Linked DNA regions of Solanum lycopersicum. The main gene of each other region encodes a partner of the protein of the gene in region 2 in a complex. Links are inferred from orthologs where the notes say so. Each region holds a gene or a part of one and is shown on either strand. Other genes may lie near its edges. The genes, in order: putative serine/arginine-rich splicing factor, suppressor of mec-8 and unc-52 protein homolog 2 and serine/arginine-rich splicing factor SR45a.

What was found.
Region 1: suppressor of mec-8 and unc-52 protein homolog 2 (region 2) and putative serine/arginine-rich splicing factor share a complex: the UniProt entries of both Arabidopsis thaliana proteins name them as parts of the spliceosome. The link is inferred for Solanum lycopersicum from reciprocal best matches to the Arabidopsis thaliana genes SMU2 and SCL28.
Region 3: suppressor of mec-8 and unc-52 protein homolog 2 (region 2) and serine/arginine-rich splicing factor SR45a share a complex: the UniProt entries of both Arabidopsis thaliana proteins name them as parts of the spliceosome. The link is inferred for Solanum lycopersicum from reciprocal best matches to the Arabidopsis thaliana genes SMU2 and SR45a.

What each region holds. Positions count from the first base shown.
Region 1 is NC_090800.1:76,022,255-76,025,960, forward strand, and holds the end of putative serine/arginine-rich splicing factor, read right to left. Parts: intron 3,675-3,706; coding exon 3,510-3,674; intron 3,391-3,509; coding exon 3,332-3,390; intron 3,212-3,331; coding exon 3,172-3,211; intron 2,304-3,171; exon of another isoform or gene 1,753-2,303; intron 1,539-1,752; coding exon 1,236-1,538; intron 820-1,235; coding exon 813-819; 3' UTR 555-812; downstream 1-554. UniProt on the Arabidopsis thaliana protein: Involved in intron recognition and spliceosome assembly. Probably active at the 5' splice sites.
Region 2 is NC_090806.1:9,689,432-9,691,765, reverse strand, and holds the end of suppressor of mec-8 and unc-52 protein homolog 2, read right to left. Parts: intron 2,234-2,334; coding exon 1,893-2,233; intron 1,658-1,892; coding exon 1,283-1,657; intron 1,087-1,282; coding exon 817-1,086; 3' UTR 605-816; downstream 1-604. UniProt on the Arabidopsis thaliana protein: Auxiliary spliceosomal protein involved in splicing of specific pre-mRNAs that affect multiple aspects of development.
Region 3 is NC_090805.1:50,114,494-50,118,253, reverse strand, and holds the start of serine/arginine-rich splicing factor SR45a, read right to left. Parts: upstream 2,606-3,760; 5' UTR 2,483-2,605; intron 1,601-2,482; coding exon 1,578-1,600; intron 1,504-1,577; coding exon 1,426-1,503; intron 1,353-1,425; coding exon 1,241-1,352; intron 1,078-1,240; coding exon 928-1,077; intron 546-927; coding exon 482-545; intron 397-481; coding exon 1-396. Other genes in the region: PCNA (proliferating cell nuclear antigen), read left to right, coding at 3,659-3,760. UniProt on the Arabidopsis thaliana protein: Probable splicing factor involved in constitutive and/or alternative splicing events. May bridge the 5' and 3' components of the spliceosome.

The DNA.
Region 1 (3,706 bases), on a different chromosome or scaffold from region 2:
GGAATAGTACTTTTTGTTAAAATAGAACTTATTTTAAAATAGAGAAAGTTTATTTCTAAACATAGTTAGTCCTTGATTGTTTGCTAAAATTGATACTTGAAAAACGATTATTCTCTCTATTACAAAAAAAAAAAAAATCTACTTTCCTCCTAAGCCTGTTTAAAAAAAACACACTTTTTTTTAATAAAATTTTAATTTCAATCCTCCACATGACAGGTTTAAGTTACATGATTAAAAAACATTTTTGTATATTTGACATAATTTTAATTTAGAACCAGAAGATTCAAAAATTTCTTTATTTTCTTAAATGTCGTGCCAAATCAAACTAGGTCGGGAGTACTATTCTTCTGTGACTTCCTTTTAAAAATAAGTTTCTTATCAAAAGGAAAACGATCATCTAGTGATTCACCCATCTTACAACCTTTAAAGAGTTGTTAATGACTTTAGAATGGATTCCAAAATTCATTTATATAAACTAAAAGATTTGAGCAAAAACTACACAGATATCAGAGGCACAAGGATAGTTACATGAGAAAAGAGGACAAGTAGCAACATTGCTTTAAGTCCATTGTAACTTCATATATAGAGAACAAGTAGCACATAAACAGAAATAACCAAATTCAACCCACGACTCAGCTATATATTACAATAGTCCATAGGTCTAGAGTGACATGATGGACAAAAAGAAACAAAACATAAATATAACAGATGTAACAATCTATTATAGTTTGCATGTGTCCAATCATCTAGACCAAGATATTCCCAAGACCTCCAAAAAAGATCAGCAGATGGTGATAACAATGAGCAAACCGTCAACGACTGCAAGGAGGGATGGTAAAAAAGAACAATTTAGTCAAATTAATCAAGGGGAGATCACCAATAGAACCAGGTTAGTAGCATATCACAAATACTATACGACAAAGCTCGTCACCAGCAGTAGTATGCAACTTTTCCAATCAAATCCAAGAGAACATAATGACTCGAAAAATTAAATGTCAAGTCAAGGCAACAGCTCAACCACCAACTATCTACATCAAAAGGGTGGGATTCGATGCAGAGCATCGTGGTGTTTCCACGATGTTCCTCGGGATCCACTAAAAGGATAGGTGTATGTGAATATGAAGGAGGAAAAAATGTAACAGAGTACAGAAATATCGAAAAGACATGATTTCAATCGACAGAGTTGATTTCAAAAATTCCTATTCAAACTTCACAAAATTGACATCTTCACAAACCTGTAGGACCTAGACGGAGATCTGGCTGAACTACCTCCATTTCTTCCAGGACTCTTGAGCCTCCTTGGGGTGGAGTCCACATCATGAGCAATCTGACTATTATCTCTTGGAGTCATGCTGATGAACCTGCCTTTTTTCTGAATGCATGGAGAATTTGACCTTGACATTGGTCTTGATTGTCTTGAAGATCTTCCTTTAGACCTACAATTTCTGTCATCCCTTGGAGAAATAGACCGAGACTGTGACCTGGATCTCCTTGGCGAGTAGTAATCATCATCATGATTCTTCTCATGATCCCTGTCCCTGTGAACAATAGTGTAATTAAGCCACTTAATAAAAAGTGCAATGCAATGTAGTTTTTGCAATAGATATTGCTGCTGAAAGCAGTGCAAACAAGTAGAAACTAGCTCTGGTCATCAAATGACTGCTATACCAACTCACAAAATAAAGTTGACATTTAACAAAACCACAAAGGTAGATTCATTCAATATCTTATCTACTAAACCAAAACCTTTACCTGTATCCTCATTTCATTGTCTGGAAAAAACTACAGTTTAATCCAGACACTGTTTAAGCACACTATATGATACAGTTCTTCAGCATCTGATCACTTCAAAGCTCTCCTTTGCCCAACTTTAAAAATCTCGAGATATCTTTCCTCAAGCATTCTCACCAAATGTCAATGACTAAAAGCTTCGAAAATTATTGCCACTTTGAAGATGATTTCTTTTGCCAACTATAAGCTCTAAATTATCTCCCTAACTGGACATTGTGCATTGTTTAGAAATTAAACATGAATTTTAAGATAAGCAAATGAAGGCCTTTTGTGATTGTAATATGTCCAGACCACTTCAATTGGTTCTCCATGGTACAGTAGAAAGCTCATCCCTTACTAGAAAAAAATCCACAAAAGGAAAATCACATGAACTTTGATGATGGTGATTTGGAACTTCTGGAGATTCATCACATTTCATGAGCAAGAGTCTTTGACTTTATGGTGATATGGTCCCTTTTCTCAATTGTCTTTATTAGTCCAGAATTCTTTAAGTCTCTTTCTCAATTTAGCATCTGCATTAATAAAGCCACCAGCAGATGTCATTCAAAAATCTACAGGATAGATGAATTATGCCTGCTAGAAATTTGACACAATCTCAAGATAATAGTGTGAGTATTCAACAAATTAGAAAGCCAACGAGCCTAAAAAGCTTCCAGCCAAAGGGACTGAGAAAGCCTCGGCATTCAAAGTACACAAGATAACAGACAAATAACTAAAGAAAAGATCAATTCCTAAAATCAAGTGGATATAGTGATGCTACCACCACTTCACCAAATAAACCATCCTACTTCACTCTCCTACGTTCCGAACCGCCAAAGAGGAAGAACAAGCATAAAACCATCAGATACCAACTGAGTTTTTGGAAATGGTACAAAATTGGGGAAGATCCACCAATGTCAATTATCTCTCCTTTCTACTAACTCCCAACTTAGGAACTATATGTACCAAAAGAAAGGTTAAAATGTATAAAAGTATATTAGCATTACAAAATAACAGAAAGAAAAAGAGATAAATAGCACCCAATTACAGAGCATCTTAAATATACAAGGCATACAACTGCAATTTATAAAAAAGAAGTTTTGACTAAGGGCATGCACCATAATACAGCAAGAGACGCAAGCAGATCAATGTGCTAAGTCTCTCTTCAGAAAAATATTTATCTAAATGTAGGAAAAGGGACTAATTTTGTCTTGATAGTTGAACTTATGCATAGTAGGGCAACAAATTTGTTGCTGATACGACTACAGGCTTCACATTTCTTACATTCCAATAGATATTCTTCTTAAATTTTGTCCCATTAGAATCAGTTACAGTCCTTACTTTCAATACAAGTAAATAATACTAGAACAACAAGCAAAATTTCTGTTATGAAACACAGACCTTGAGTCACGTCTTGCTGGAGAAGCCGAGCGCGAGTAAGCTGCCATAGAAATTCTAAACCATTAATCTTTAGAGGAAAAAAAAACTTTTGACTCTAACACTTGTTCTTAAGAAACTAAACAACTATTATAAAGAAGTGTGAGTTGAAATTCTAACTGACAGTGATATCTACGACTTGGTGAACTGTGTCTCCAGTAGCTGCCTCGAGCACTAGGTCCACTAGTTAAACAGGAAAAGTAGTAGACTTAGATTCAGTGAAGTGGGTGAATAACACTTGAGCTGGAAAAGAGATTGATAATCAACATGGTTGCAACTTGAAGCAAACCACATATATGCACCTTGTGCTTAAGACCTTGCGCATTTCTCGAGGGGTCTTTCGATTATCCTCAGCAAAAACAATCCTAATATCACGTCCACCAATAACTGTATTGTTCAAGTGTGCTTTTGCTTCAGCTGCATCTTCGGCATAACGGAACTTCACAAAGCCAAATCCTCGTGGTTCCCTACGTATAAGATTAGAAAAAAGAAATAGACA
Region 2 (2,334 bases):
TTGTCAAGATGTATTATGTAATGACATTACATTAAAAGTCACTCTCTTACAACTCAACACCTTCCACCATCTCCTAATGTGAAAGGAGGTAGTATTACTATTCTATCCATCTCCTAATGCATGTCAAAATTAGATAAAAGTATTACTCTTCTATCCATCTCCTAATGCATGTCAAAATTAGATAAAAGTATTACTATTCTATCCATCTCCTAATGCATGTCAAAATTAGATGAAAGTATTACTATTCTATCCATCTCCTAATGCATGTCAAAATTAGATAAAATTTAAACCATGCATGTACAAATGTAGCAAGAAATTTTTTAAAACAACATAAATTTCAAAATCAAGGAAATCTAGAGCTGAAAACCTAAACACTATCAAACTTACGACTTCATTTGCCTCACATAACTGTAAACCTCAACTCTCACTTCTAATAAGGATAAGGAAGTAATAATACATTCATTCACTAATAACTAGTCTCTACATTAATAATATTGATATACTCTAATCAACTACAAACAACCCCTTATATTTTACAAAAATTAACTTGTATAATTAGAATCCACTTCAATCATCATAAAAAATTTCCATATATGTTATAGTATTTTATAAAATAACATTTATATTTCAGATTTAAAATAAATAAAGCGATACGTGTTTATACTAGCACGATATTCTGAACACTAAATCAAGACACGATATTCTGAACACTAAATCAAGACATAGTACTAATTCAAATTCAAGATATTCTGAACAGTAAAATGTAGAGGAAGATCTAAAAAAACAAAAAGATCAAAGTTTTATCTGTCTGTTTGTTCATACACGCTGCTTCTTTCCAGGTTGTATTTCACCGTCTTCAAGTGCTTCACCTTTGTCTTTCTCCATCTTCTTTCTGGTGAGTATTTTGTTTATCTTATGCAGCTCATTCGTAAGCTTCTGGTCTTTGTTTTGTTTCCTCGTCTTCCTACCATCCTGCATCTTCACTCCAAACTGGAATGCAGCTTTCGGCATTGCTTCCTTCTGCTCATTGTATGTCGCCCACTCCTCTTCTGTCTCAAAGTCCCAACGATGAAGCCTTCCCTTTGCCTACAATGCATCACAACATCAAAGAAAAATTAGAGTTGTATCTTCGTACAATTTTAAAAAATGTAATTATTTTCAGTTATGTGAGGCAATTGAAGTTTCCTTTACAGGGACCAACATTTTGTAGGTTTCAAAAGTACGGGGGAAGGGGTGAACTAAGAAATGGCATAATCTTCAGCAAGAACAGAGTATCACTTACGCGTCCACCCATGTCCATTTTTGACAAATCAGCTTCATCATCACTGTCAACAACCTCACGATTGTACTCTTGGTAACCAGGATAGCACTCCGAATAGCTTTCAGAAATAAAGTTAGGATCCTTCTCTCTGGCATCTCTCTCTCTCAATTGCAGAAGCCTCTGATCATCCCTCTTGAACACTGACCCTAGGCCTCTATCCTTTTCTTCTTGAGTCATAAACTGTGGATCCTGAAGACCGTCAACATCAGCTTGCATATCATAATTCTGCTGGAGATATTGCTCAGGATAAGCCACCTGTTCAGGATACTGATAATCTTGCCACTCTGGTTGGTAAACACCAGCTACCGCTTGTGCTTGCGCTGCATCATATCCATTCTGGACAGATCAAACATATTCAACAATCAAAAGATGAGTAATAGTTGCAACACATAGTAAAATCTAATTAAGGGAGTAAATAAAGTAAAGTCGACAAATACGATGGAGGGCATCCAATTTCTTCCTTTCTTCGTATAAATGTAGGAAAAAGAATCTAGGCAGATTTTGTCATAAAATATTGTTAAGCATTTTAAACAGGAATGATCTAATGCCTTACAACTCAAAACTGACTCACCGTGTATTGCCAATCATGAGAAGGCTCAGATGGAGGTACTGGGCCATAGGCAGGTTCACTGAAATATGAGGTTCTCTCTTTGTTTCGAGGAGATTCTTCCATGTCCTCCGATACAGGGCTTTGACCCATATCTCCAGCAGGAACGGAGTAGTCAACGCCTTCCCCTATGAAGATATCTTCTTCTTCAGGTCTAGCAACAACAGGTCCCTGAACCTCTCTTCTTTCTGAATGGTTCTTTTTAGGAAGTTGTGCAGATGGATGCACAGTTTCTTTATCAATTTGGCTCTTTGATGCATCCGACTTCAATACTTCGTCATAACCATTGGATATAACTGTCTTCCCTGTACAATATTGAAAACTTGTGTCAGAACACAGAACAAGGATATAGAAGTGCAGCTCCTTATCAATGAAGAGAAGAGATAACTCACCACCAACAAAAGAA
Region 3 (3,760 bases), on a different chromosome or scaffold from region 2:
AGTAGTCACGGTAGCGGCTTCTTCTATAGTAACGGTCATCTGGAGAATAGGAACGATCACGCCGATGATTGTCGGGAGAATAGTCATGGTAACGGCTCCTTCTGTAATAACAGTCATCTGGAGAGTAGGACCGATCACGCCCATTATATGGGGATAAAGATCGAGAGTAAGATCTTCCACGACTATAGTAAGGAGAATAAGGTGATTCTGAGTAGCAGTGGTGCCGACTGTAATACGATGAGTGAGATCTCTGGCGTCCTCTGTAATAAGAGTATGATCTATGCTCTTGTCGGTAATATGGAGAGTAAGACCTGCTCCTGCTCCTGTAGCTTTCAGATGAGTAACAAGGAGAGTGATTCCTTGAATAATGAGGATAAGTTCGTGATTCACGACGAACTACATTTACAAGGTGGAAATTAGAAGACATCACAGACAAATAACCCAGGTCAATTATTGCTTAGGAAAGGATACAATATCATACCGCGAACAGTTCTAAGCCCCAAATATTTTCCTGGAGTAGGTGTTCTACCTCTTCTCCTCCTGGCCTGCATAGGATACAATTGTCAGACAGCAAATCTAGACTCTGGCAGGTTGATGCAATATAACAATATCACGATATAAGTAACCAATAGAAAATGAACAATAGCAACAAGGGCGCAGCTGAATAAAGAAAAATGAAGGCTACAACCCTCTGGTTGACAGTCTGTTTGCTTGATGTGTTTTGATTTGTTATTTGGACTTTGGTGAAGAGCTGCTACACACAGCTACCTTGCTGCCAAAGAAACTCAGGCGAAACAAGCAAACAACTTTCAAACTGATCAAATTACTGAAGCAAATATAAGATATTGATACAACTGAGAGCTGATACCAGCGAAAATTGCAAACATAAGATTCAACAAAACTGAGCAAATATTCAATAAATTCTACCTTCTCCACGGTGATAACTCTGCCTTCAAGTATTGAGCGATTCAGAGACTTGATGCAGCGATCAGCCTCCTCAACGCTGGACATCGTCACGAAACCAAACCCACGAGATTCGTGGGTCCATGGGTCTAAAACAAGACGAACATCTTCAACCTAACCAGAGAAAAAAGCATTTAATGAGGTTGATATCCTCGACAATGTGAACGCACATGGGAGCAAATCCTACGGAGTTCTTTTCTTTTGAATAAAGTGCAAAAGACCTAAATGAACTGACTACAGAGAACGGGAAGGCAATCTGAAGAAGCAACAAACATACCTTCCCCTCAGCAGAAAAATGCTTCTCAATATCTCGCTCCTTAACGCGGGTTGAGAGACCAGTCACATACAAATTGTTCCCTGGGTTCTCAACATCACTTGAATCACAGCTCCTGCCATTATAATAAAGTTAAATAACATGAACTCTAATTACCACCATATTAATAGAACATTGCCAACATGTACCTTGACCGACTCCTTGAAACACATCTGGACCTTGAGACAGACTTGCTATATCGATCGTATGAAGGTGAGCGAGAATACCTGCAATATAAATGTCATATTGAACATGACTAGGAATAATGACCATATAAAACCCATATTAAGACCAACAATACCTTGACCTCCTGGAGTACGACATCTGCAGTTAACATCAAACAGAATGGTAAGCTTAGGCTAATAATATTGAGAAGAAAGACGATAAAACAGGGTGTTTTATCACAAACCCAGCAGATATATAGTAAGTAAAACCATCAAATCAAGATCACTGATTTGTCAAACAATACAAAACTAACCGATGCAGACAATATAATTCCTCTAAATCGACTCTGCCTCACTCTGTCTACTCCGTTTCAATAACGGAACATCAATTTATCTTTTGATTTAAATTAAAGGTTTCCTAATTCCCATCTTATATTCTCCTCTATTACTTTACCTTTTAGCTTCTAGAATCCCAGCAATCATAAAAGTAGAAAGTAAAGTTCTCCTTGGTGATTAAAGGATAACAAACTATGCGATAGGATCATAGTTTGAAATTTGTCAAACCAAGCAGACAACAACAATTAGCTACTGATAAAAATAGAGGCGGATCAAGTACTTAAAACTTTTATATAAGGATAATAGAACTGAACCAATTCCACTTTTATGCTTTAATTCTGACTTTAAATCTATAACACTGGTAACGCTTTACACATCTATATATATTTATGCTCCCGTGGATGTACTGGAATTCAAAAGGATCAGTGTGAAAAGCATTAATTGCTATATGTCAAAACAACAAAATCACAAATCAACTCAAAGACAAAAATACACAATAAACCAAAAATCGACCGAGACTGTTTAGTTCTCTATGTTCTGGGCAAAAAATGAACGGAAGAATCATCTAATCCGCTTAGGTAATAGAAAATTCAATTTGAATCAAACGTTGATGCCGATCACAAACGCAAATGACATACAATCTCATCAGCTTTTTAGCTAATTCGTATCGAAGAAAGGAATTAAGAGATGGAAAAAGAAGACTCACCGTGAAGAGATTATGGTAGCGTAGGATCGAAATACTTCTCTTTCTCTCTCTAATTTGCGAAGGCTCTCGAAATAAAATGACTCGGTTGGGAAAGGCTTTCTACTATATACCTGTAGCGTAAAGAAGTTTCTAGATGAGGGACACGAAATCCTTTTTGATTGGACTTGAATTTGTCACATTATTCTACCAAACCAAAAAAAAAAAAAATTGTTTCTATCCATATTTAAATGGAGAAATTTTCGTATATAGTCATTTAAAATAGCTAATTACTCTCTATAACTATAGTTTAATAATTATAATTCGTAACTATGTGTTATATGGAGGAGAGAAACAAGCGAGACCGGAGGAGAGAAACAAGCGAGACCGGGAGAGAGTGAGAGAAAGGTGAAATATACATGTATATCATTTAGTAATTGTATATTATACATATGTATTTGTATATATGGCAAAGTGAGAGAATGAGAAGAAAGAGAGAAGCGAGCGAGACTAGGAGAGGAAGGAGAGAGGCGAGCGAGACAGGGCAGAGAGTGGGAGAGAGGTGAATTGTATGTGTGTGTAAATGTATGCTATACATATACATTTGTATATAGGGCAAGCGAGATTGGAAAAGGGAGGAGAGAGGTGAGGGAGATTGGGAGAGTGAGGAGAGAGGCGAGCGAGAGGGGAGAGAGGTGAATTGTATATATATAGGTTGAATAATTATATATTATACATATGTATTTGTATATTCTGGCGAATTATACATATACAAACGTGACTATTATACAAACTCAAAATTAGTTCACGTAATTAATGTATAATATTAATTACGAGTGATAATTATAGTAAATTATAACTATGATAAGTAATTTTAATAGTATAAATCTATTTTGTTGCGTAATTTTTTCTATTTGAATATGAGAGATTAAAACCCAAGGCCTTTCTCGAAGCAGGCCCAATTGATTTATGGGCTCAAGTAGCCCAAAATCAAAATAATGGCGGGAACTTATTTTATTTTCTGACAATTCATTTCCCGCCAATAGGGAGCCCTATATTCTCGAGCACACTTTTCCAGCAGCTATATAAACCCTAACCCCATTACTCCACTCATTTTCGCTCTATTTTTCATTCAGACACCTCTGTTTTCCCTCCTTCCCCATTTCAAAACCCTAACCCTAGTTTCCCGCAGAGGACAAAATGTTGGAACTACGTCTTGTTCAGGGAAGTCTGCTGAAGAAAGTTCTAGAATCGATTAAGGATCTGGTGAACGATGCGAACTTTGATTGTTCCGCCACTGGA